Rattus norvegicus: one gene and its partner. The protein of the gene in region 1 purifies or fractionates together with the protein of each later gene. This does not show direct contact. Links are inferred from orthologs where the notes say so. Each region holds a gene or a part of one and is shown on either strand. Other genes may lie near its edges.

What was found.
Region 2: the proteins of Tgfbr1 (region 1) and Smad7 purify together in Homo sapiens (affinity purification with western blotting; 19 studies listed by BioGRID). This does not show direct contact. The link is inferred for Rattus norvegicus from reciprocal best matches to the Homo sapiens genes TGFBR1 and SMAD7.

What each region holds. Positions count from the first base shown.
Region 1 is NC_086023.1:66,447,691-66,452,248, forward strand, and holds the start of Tgfbr1 (TGF-beta receptor type-1 precursor), read left to right. Parts: upstream 1-1,707; 5' UTR 1,708-1,789; coding exon 1,790-1,874; intron 1,875-4,558. UniProt on the Homo sapiens protein: Transmembrane serine/threonine kinase forming with the TGF-beta type II serine/threonine kinase receptor, TGFBR2, the non-promiscuous receptor for the TGF-beta cytokines TGFB1, TGFB2 and TGFB3.
Region 2 is NC_086036.1:71,261,953-71,266,546, forward strand, and holds the start of Smad7 (mothers against decapentaplegic homolog 7), read left to right. Parts: upstream 1-1,555; 5' UTR 1,556-2,977; coding exon 2,978-3,590; intron 3,591-4,594. UniProt on the Homo sapiens protein: Antagonist of signaling by TGF-beta (transforming growth factor) type 1 receptor superfamily members; has been shown to inhibit TGF-beta (Transforming growth factor) and activin signaling by associating with their receptors thus preventing SMAD2 access.

The DNA of each region.
Region 1 (4,558 bases):
AGTTAAGAGACTGCTCTGGCAGAGGAAGTGGTTCTGTTCTTAGCATTCTTGTCGGGTAGCCCACAACCACCTGCAACTCCAGTTCCAAGTAATTGGACGCCCTCTTCTGGACTCCACAAGCACTACATGCACGTGGTGCACATAGGAGCTGGACCCAATCTTTAAAAAAATAACAAGAACTGGGGCCGTAGCTTATCAGTAGAGAGTATTTGCCTAGCTATTAGTAGAGTACTTGCCGAGGAAGTACAAGGCTTTGGGGGTGGGGGTGAGGCGGGGATAGGCACTGGAGATTTCGGGTGTGACAGCCCCTTTAAGTCTTTCAGAGAGATTGCCTTAGAAGCTAGTCAAATTTAGTCTCTGTAGCCTCGGTGCAGGGGAGCTAGGAACTGATCGTTCTGCAGTCCCAGAGAGCAGGCCTGTTCAGGTTCTGGCAGGTTAGGACTTGCTCAAGCGTGTCCTAGCTGGAGCCGAGAAGCAGTCTCAGACCCCAGCTCTAACCCCCACGGTTTGCTTTCATAAGCAGGATCAAACTCTTGGAGAGTGGCTGTAAAACAATTTACTAACAGATACTAGAGGCCGGCTGGTTCCTACTACCGAGCTTCATTTAATTCCGAGTTCAAATCATACAGAAAATAAAATTTTCTCCTTAAAAGGTTCTGCGGAAAAATGCTGTCGGTGCCATGCGGCCGCCTCCGTGACTGTGTTTGTGTCTGAAGAAAGGACTAGTCTGACAGGAAGAATTACAAATCTGGAGCTCATTTTGGCATCCCAGAGGGAAGGTGGGTGGAGCGTCTCACAGTAAATTAGGAATTCAGAATGAAAGCGGAGCTGAGTTTATTTGGGTTTTTAGTGACACCTCGAAATTATTACACAGGCGTGTCGGAGACAGCTCTAAGTACCTATGACTGCTCCCGCTTCGCCCCGAATCCCCCATCATTCAAAACCCGTAGGCCTCTCCGCTTCCACGCGGGGTCAGGAAGGTGGGAGGGAAGGAGAGCGGCGGGGACCCACAGTCTGTTTATACTGCCGAGAGACACAGGCCACTCAGGGGTGTGTCTGAGCTCCGCCTCGGGATTCAGAATCTGGGCTCCGACTTTGGGACTGGAATTTGAGGAGGGCAAGACTAGGTCTGGGGCGGCCATAGAGTGCGGGAAGAAATCGGGTTATCTTTGCGGGGAGGCTGGGAATTGAGGAGCGGGTCTAGGGAGAAGAAGTTGAACCGCGGACCGTATTGAGGGTCGGAGTGGCGATAGTTGAGCTTTGCCGGTGCAGGACTGTGCAGGGAAAGTCAGGGTGGGGTTGGAGTAGAAGAAAAGAGCGAGCAACGTCCACAGTCTTTCCCTGAGCAACTCTTACGGGCACACCCAGCGCTTAGTCCGGACTGCGGGCTCCCTCGGGCGCGCAGGCTGGACCCTGCCCCCACCCGCCGGTAGAGTACGAGCTACCCTGCTGTGGCTGGAGTATAGGCGCCCAGCGGTGAGGGGGCGTGGCCAGAGGCCCAGCAGTGCGGAGGCGTGGTTAGAGGCAGAAGTCCAGGGCCGCTCATTGGCCGCCCAGGGGCCCCGAGGGCGGGGCTCTCCGCTGGGTCCCTCTAGGGCGCTCGCGGGCGGCGGGGGAGGCGGGGTCGGCGGGAGCTGGGCAGCCAATGGGCGTGCGCCCCTCGAGCAGTTACAAAGGGCCGGAGCGAGGCCGCAGCGGCGGCGGGGAGGTGGGGCGAGGAGAGGCGAGGCTTGTTGAGGAGAAGCTGAGGCCGGGGCCGGGCCGGGCCACAAACAGTGGCAGCGGGACCATGGAGGCGGCGTCGGCTGCTTTGCGTCGCTGCCTGCTTCTCATCGTGTTGGTGGCGGCGGCGACGCTGCTCCCGGGGGCGAAGGGTGAGTGGCGGGCGGGTGGCTGTGGGGCGCGCGAGCCGGGCCCGGCCTCTGGCTCGCTTCAGCTCTTTCTCAAACATGGCGCGGGGCCGGGGGCGCAGGTGGCGGCGCCGGGCCGGCCGAGCTTTCCTGACCCGGCAGGCGCCACGCGAGCCGGGGCGGGGAGGAGAGGCGGGGCGGGGGCGGTGTCGAGCGCGGGTGGCCGAACACCGAGCGGAGGCCTGCCCTCTTGGGCTCCCGGGAGCAGCGGCTGGCGAGCCTGCTGAGGTCTGTGGCTGCCCTCGGGGGTGTGAGGCCGGCGGGGACCGTGGCCCCCTGATTCCACTGCCTAAGTGCTCTCCGGCCTGAGACTGTTAGGGCGTGGGCGGGCACCGGCGTGGAGGCGCTCCGGGGCTCGGCGCGTGGAGGGCTCCTCGGAGGGTCGTAAGGGGCGCCGTGGGCAGAGATCCCGGGTGGGCCGCACTGCTGTGAGTGTCGGCGCCCGCCTAGGGCGACTTTTCTTCAACCGGGGGCTTTGTGTGAGAAGCAGGCGCGAAGATGCGCGGAATGTTCTCTCTTCGTGCGTCTGGGAAGAGTTGAGAGTTCAGTAACCAGAAGATTGCCTTGCTAGTAGAAACTTGAACGTTTGCTCACTCTGCAGACTTGGGATCGTTTGAATGGGAATGATTCTGTAGAATTGATCAAAGATTTCTTTTTCTCGACGGGATCGTTGCTTTGGGTGTATCGTTTCCTTAAGCAGTAGTCTTAAAATCAGACCTCTATGTAGCTGGCTTTTGAAGGGAAAATGTGTAGTTTTCCAAAATATTAAAACCGGCCGTGATACGGTTGTCACCCCGTGGAGGGAAGATTGAAAAACTTAGTCCGGAACCGATTAAAATAGGAGAAAGCAAAATACTGAGGCTCAGATTAGCAACTAAAATACAGTGAAAATACATGTCTGTTGCTGAAATTGGATAACATTTTAAAAAGCAAAGCATACCAAAACAAAAATCTCTCCAGACTGTGGATGCCAGCTGTTATTAAACTTAATAGTAACTGTTTATTGGGAGTTGATTATAATGCAGATGTAAAAGGCACAGTATCTCGGGGCACAGAACCCTCGGGGCTACCAGTACTTGTCCTGTACATTGACTTGAAAACTGAGGTGCAGGAGATTACGTTCTTAGTAAGTGCAGAAATTAATTTGTACTTAGGCCTTTCTGGGCTCAAAATCAGTGCACCTGCTATACCGTAGCATAGCCCACTTAAAGAACAGTTGATATTTGACACTTAGAACTTAGCCATCAGTTTCTTAGTTTACTTGAACTTGAACAACCTAGTACTTGAACATTCCCTTCACAAAGGTCTTCATTAGAAGATACCATGGGTTTTTGACATTGGCTTAGGAAGGGAATAACGGTGGACAAAGTGGGGGAATTGTTATAATTATTCACCAACTATAAGTGGCCATATCTCTACAATTATTTGAATAAAGTAATTCTTTTCTACCTAAAACAAAGCAAGACACGTTCATGCATTTAGCAGTATTGACTTAGATGCTGAGAAGGTTGGTCCGTGTCCTGGAGGATTTTATTACTCAAAACCTAGACTAGTACTTCATAAACTTTCCCCGTTTGCCATCCTCTTTTCTCAAAAGATTGTACGTGACCTTGAGTACAAAATGTAGAAAGCAAGTATATAATTCAGATGTGCTGATAATAGATCATAAATGAAATTATTTTAAAACAATTCATTGGTACATACAATTTTACTATTTATTAAAGATTCAAGCACATTTTCATAGTAATGAGATGGGTGAGTTTATTTTTACTTAAAGAATTAAATCATCCAATGCCAACGACTCCATATAATTGTTTAGGGCCATTTCAGACATTGTTGAAAATTCTCTCTTAATCACAAGATGAAATTTATTTAATAATTTTTTATTTATATAAGTATGCTGTAGCTGTCTTCAGACACACCAGAAGAGGGCATCAGATCTTATTACAGATGGCTGTGAGCTACCATGTGGTTGCTGGGAATTGAACTCAGGACCTCTGGAAGGGCAGTCGATGCCCTTAACCACTGAGCCGTCTCTCCAGACCTCATTTAATAATTTTTAAAATGAAATTTAAGTCAGCAACTTAAACAGCAGTTTTTAAAATCAGACATTCTAACACAATACAGTCGATCTACAATCGATCACAAATATACCACTTTGATATACATGAAGGATGAAAGCCTTTTCTGTATGTATGTTTCTGGAAGAATAGAAAACTTTTTATTTAATAAAAAACATTAAAACTTATAAAAATAAATGTTAGCACTGCATAACACGACAGCAAGTGTGTTTAGAACCAAGGGTGTTGTGAAGTTGCATCATGTAACACAAGCATGCATTGCCAGAAACACTTCAGATTCATTACTCATTTGATTTTTAATTAATTTGGAGTGTTATACATTCAGAAGTCCTTGAGTATTGCCAGATTGTTGTATGACCCAGCACCTCTATAAGGAGTTAGGATTCAGTTTAAGAAGCTATGGCCTCTTGGTCCTGTGAAGGCTGGATGCCCCAGTGTTGTAGGGGAATGCCAGGGTGGGAAGGCAGGAGGGGAGCGGGTGGGTGGGGAGCACCCTCATAGAAGCAGGGGGAGGGAGGATGGGATAGGGAGTTTCCAAAGGGGAAGCCAGGAAAGGGGATAACATTT
Region 2 (4,594 bases), on another chromosome or scaffold:
TCTATCAGGTTAGAAACAGAAGTTACTGGTCAGAACATATAATTCCGGTTGGAAGAAATAATTACAGTCCACATTTGGTAAAAAATCTTTACCCCACCCCCATGAGTTTTATTACTATCCTGTTACAATTTCAAGAGACTTTTCTTTTTTCTTTTTTCTTTTTGGTTCTTTTTTTCGGAGCTGGGGACCGAACCCAGGGCCTTGCGCTTCCTAGGTAAGCGCTCTACCACTGAGCTAAATCCCCAGCCCCTCAAGAGACTTTTCAAAAAAACCCAATAAATATGTGAGTCTGGGTCACCATGCCAACTAGTTGTCTCAGTCACATTTAACACCCTAGTACTATCCTCAGACCAGCACCCACAGGACTTTCGCTTGACAAATACCTTTTCTAGTTCCAAGCAGTCACCTGCATCTGGGGATAGCTTTCTCTGGAACCTGAGGTCAAGGGAAAAACTCTCTGACCCCAAGTAGGCCCCGCATGCGATTGAATGCTCTAAGCAGGTCTGCTCACTGGGTAACGTTCGCGCGCCAGGAGGCCGAGTGGCGGGTGCCGGAGGTCTTCCAAGCCCGGAGGAAACCTGACGGCGGCGCGCAGGCGAGCTGCACCCCTCCTCCCTCCAGGATGCTGCCCCTCGCTGCTCGTCAGCCTGCCAAATGCATTCCAGAGCTGTGCACAAGACACACTTCTCCAGGCAGTCCTAGAAACCCGAGCCCGGAGCGGGAGAGGGCGGGAGGGAGCGCGGCGGCCGCTGAGGTCACATTCGCGCCGCCTCTCCGCCCTCGGCCGCCCGGCTGTTCCCTCTAGCGCACACTTCCCAGGGCCTCTGTCCTGGCCGGTGTAAATGTCTTTGAAACAGACAGCGATCTCCTCCCCTTTCCAAGGGATCCGCCGCCAGGGCCTTAAAACAAAACGAATGAATGAAGCGCCCCGGCGAGCTCCACTGGTCTAAATCGGGCCACTGACCGGCTCATTCCGCTCCAAACTCGCCCGCTCCACGCCCCCAGCTCTTCCGATTTCCCCCTGCTCCCCCTGGGTCTCCGCCGACCCCCGGGGCCGTCTCGGCCTCCCACCTCCCTCCGCCCGTGGGTACCCCTCTGTAGACCTGGGAGAGGGTGGCGGTAACTGGGAGGGGGGTTGAAATAGCTTTTAGAAACCCGATCTGTTGTTTGCGAAACACAATCGCTTTTTTTTTTTTAAAGCGACAGGGTGTCTAGACGGCCACGTGACGAGGCCGGAGCCGGGCGCGCCACTGCGCAGTGGAACCAGCCGAGCGGAGGGACGGGTGGGGGGGCGGGAAGGAGGCGGCGGCGGCTGGGGGCGGGGGAGGGAGGGGTAGAGGGGGGAGGGAAGGGGGCGGAGGCGGGAGGCCTTGCGGGAGGCGGCGAGCCCTGGGCACATTCGCTCGCTGCTCGGCGCACAGAGGATCTTGTCCCCGAGCAGCGCCAGCAGAGCCAGCCGGGCGCCTCGCTCGGTCCGCTCGCCGCGCCGGAGAGCTGCCTGAGACGCAGCCAGCCAGCCGGCGCCACGCCGCCGAGCGCTCGGCCCCGGAGTCCCTGAGTGCGGCGCGGCGAGCCCCCAGCGGCGGCAGAAGGACTCGAGCGCCAGGAGAGGGCGGACGGGGGACGAGGAGGCTCCCGGGCGCGACGAAGAGAGTCTCGGAGGAAGAGGCTGCGAGAGGACACCCGGGCCTCCTGCCGCCACTGTCGGGTCGGGGCCAGCAGCTTATGCGAGCAGCCCCAGCGACCACCCTCGGCCAGGAGAAGGGGCACCGGCAGCCCCCACGCTAGCTAGCCTGCCGCCTGTGCCCTCGGGGGCGAGAGCTTGCGACCCGCCGGAGCCCGCCGCCGCGCCGCCCTCCCCCGCGCTGACAGCCCCCCGGGGCGCAGCCGCCGCCGCAGCATCTTCTGTCCCTGCTTCCCCAGCGCGGAGGAAGTCCCCGCCGAGGACCTGGGCCCCCGGGAGCGCAGGAGGAAAGACCAGAGACTCTAAAACACCCAGATACGCAAGATTGAAGCAGCCTAACCAGACCTTTCTGTGGATTAAAAGAAATACGATTTTTTTTTTTGACAGAAGAAAAGGAAAGGAAGACCGGCGGGGTTCAGCAAGGAAAAAAAGGGGATGTAACTCGTGGATACGGTTTTTCCCCCCACCCTTCCAACATCTTGTTCTACTTTGTAAACATTTTCTCTTTTTAAACCCCGGCTCCATCCGGTGCCCTCCAGACCTCCGAGGTGCGAGAAGGTGGTGTGTTTTTTCACTGGGGGCTTTGCATATTTGGTTTTGGGGTTTTTGAGAGACCCTCCAGACATCTCACGAGGGGTGAAGTCTACTCGGCCCCCTCCCTCAAGTCTTCGCGTGCACAGAATTCGAGGAGATCCGGTTACTAAGGATATAGAAGAAAAAAATAAATCGTGTGCCTGCCTTTTTTTTTTTTAATTGCCTGCTTCTCCCCACCCCCAAATTAAGTTGCTTAGCAAGGGGGAAAGAGGCTTTTTCCTCCCTTCAGTAGCTCAGCCTAACGTCTTTCGTTTTTTGCCCCTGAGGATCTTCCATGTAGGAAGCCGAGGCTGGCGAGCCCGACACTCGGGAGCCACTGTAGGGGGGCCTTTTTGGGGAGAGGCGTCGACCGGGGCTGCCTCGGCCGCCCCCAGGGAAGCGGCGGCCGCGTTCCTCAGGGGCACGCCGGGGCCCGAGAGCCGCGCAGGGCGCGGGCCGCGCCGGGTGGGGCAGCCGAAGCGCAGGCCCCCGATCCCCGGCGGGCGCCCCTGGGCCCCCGCGCGCGCCCCGGCCTCCGGGAGACTGGCGCATGCCACGGAGCGCCCCTCGGGCCGCCGCCGCTTCTGCCCGGGCCCCTGCTGTTGTTGCTGTCGCCTGCGCCTGCTGCCCCAACTCGGCGCCCGACTTCTTCATGGTGTGCGGAGGTCATGTTCGCTCCTTAGCCGGCAAACGACTTTTCTCCTCGCCTCCTCGCCCCGCATGTTCAGGACCAAACGATCTGCGCTCGTCCGGCGTCTCTGGAGGAGCCGTGCGCCCGGCGGCGAGGACGAGGAGGAGGGCGTGGGGGGTGGCGGCGGCGGAGGCGACCTGCGGGGAGAAGGGGCGACGGACGGCCGGGCTTATGGGGCTGGTGGCGGCGGTGCGGGCAGGGCTGGCTGCTGCCTGGGTAAGGCAGTCCGAGGTGCCAAAGGTCACCACCATCCCCATCCCCCATCCTCGGGTGCCGGGGCGGCCGGGGGCGCCGAGGCGGATCTGAAGGCGCTCACGCACTCGGTGCTCAAGAAACTCAAGGAGCGGCAGCTGGAGCTGCTGCTTCAGGCCGTGGAGTCCCGCGGCGGTACGCGCACCGCGTGCCTCCTGCTGCCCGGCCGCCTGGACTGCAGGCTGGGCCCGGGGGCGCCCGCCAGCGCGCAGCCCGCGCAGCCGCCCTCGTCCTACTCGCTCCCCCTCCTGCTGTGCAAAGTGTTCAGGTGGCCGGATCTCAGGCATTCCTCGGAAGTCAAGAGGCTGTGTTGCTGTGAATCTTACGGGAAGATCAACCCCGAGCTGGTGTGCTGCAACCCCCATCACCTTAGTCGACTCTGTGAACTAGGTAAGAAGTTGTTCTGAGTCCACCTTTCGTTCCCTCTGGCGAGGAAATGCTGGTAGAAATGCTCGAGGGTGTGTGCATTATCTCCTGGAGGAGACAAGGGAACTAAATCAAAGAAGGAACGAGGGGGGGGAAACTCTGACATTCCTTGGGGTTCCCTTTCAAGATTTTGCTCTTGCACCATCCCCCCTCCCTCCAGAGGAAGAGACCCAGGGATACTGCTGCTTAGCCTTATACTGAACTGACATGCTGCAGAAAACGAGACACTCTTATTTCCGGGTATGCAAGGGGATACAGAGCAAAGTGGGGGATCACGCTTCCCCCGCACCCGGAAAGGCGTTGAGGTGTGTGGCCGAGTTGGATTCGGCCCAAGCCCGCCAAGGAAGGCTGGGAGAAACTAGCTTTAAAGGCTGGAGAGTCTCTCCTTTAGTAAATAAGGACAGTCACGTGGGGCACGAGTGGCCCAGATACTGTCCTGGCCTCCCAGCTTTGGAGTTTGGGGGCAGTGGTAGGATGGAGACTGAACTGGGTATCCAGTCTCAGCTGTGCACACTTCGGGGCGAGAAGGAGCAAACAGCCTGGAGAAGTTGGGTGGCCTCTACTTTTTTATCTTTATTTCGCACAGAAAAGCGTACAATTAGTGGTCCTTAGAACGCCCGACACTCCCACCCCTGCGTTTCAGTGACGTCCCTCCCTGCACCATAATTGGCCTGGGCTTCATGGCCGGGACCCTGAACAGGTTCCTCCCCATATTATCCTGTTAGGTTTTCCATGCCTTCTGTTTGCTCCTTGTCTTTGTGCTCAGGGTAGAGGATCATGCCCTGATCCCTGCAAATCTTCCAAGTTCACCAGCAGCTCACTTGGGTGTTTTTTTTTTCCCTCTCAGGTGGGCTGGCTGGGTAGGATTCCCTAGTGCGTGGGTGCCAAGCTCAGCAGTGGGGGCGGAGGTGAATTGTGCTCCTAGTGGCGGGGAGGGCCGGAGAAGCGGGATCTGTAGTTGTAAAAGA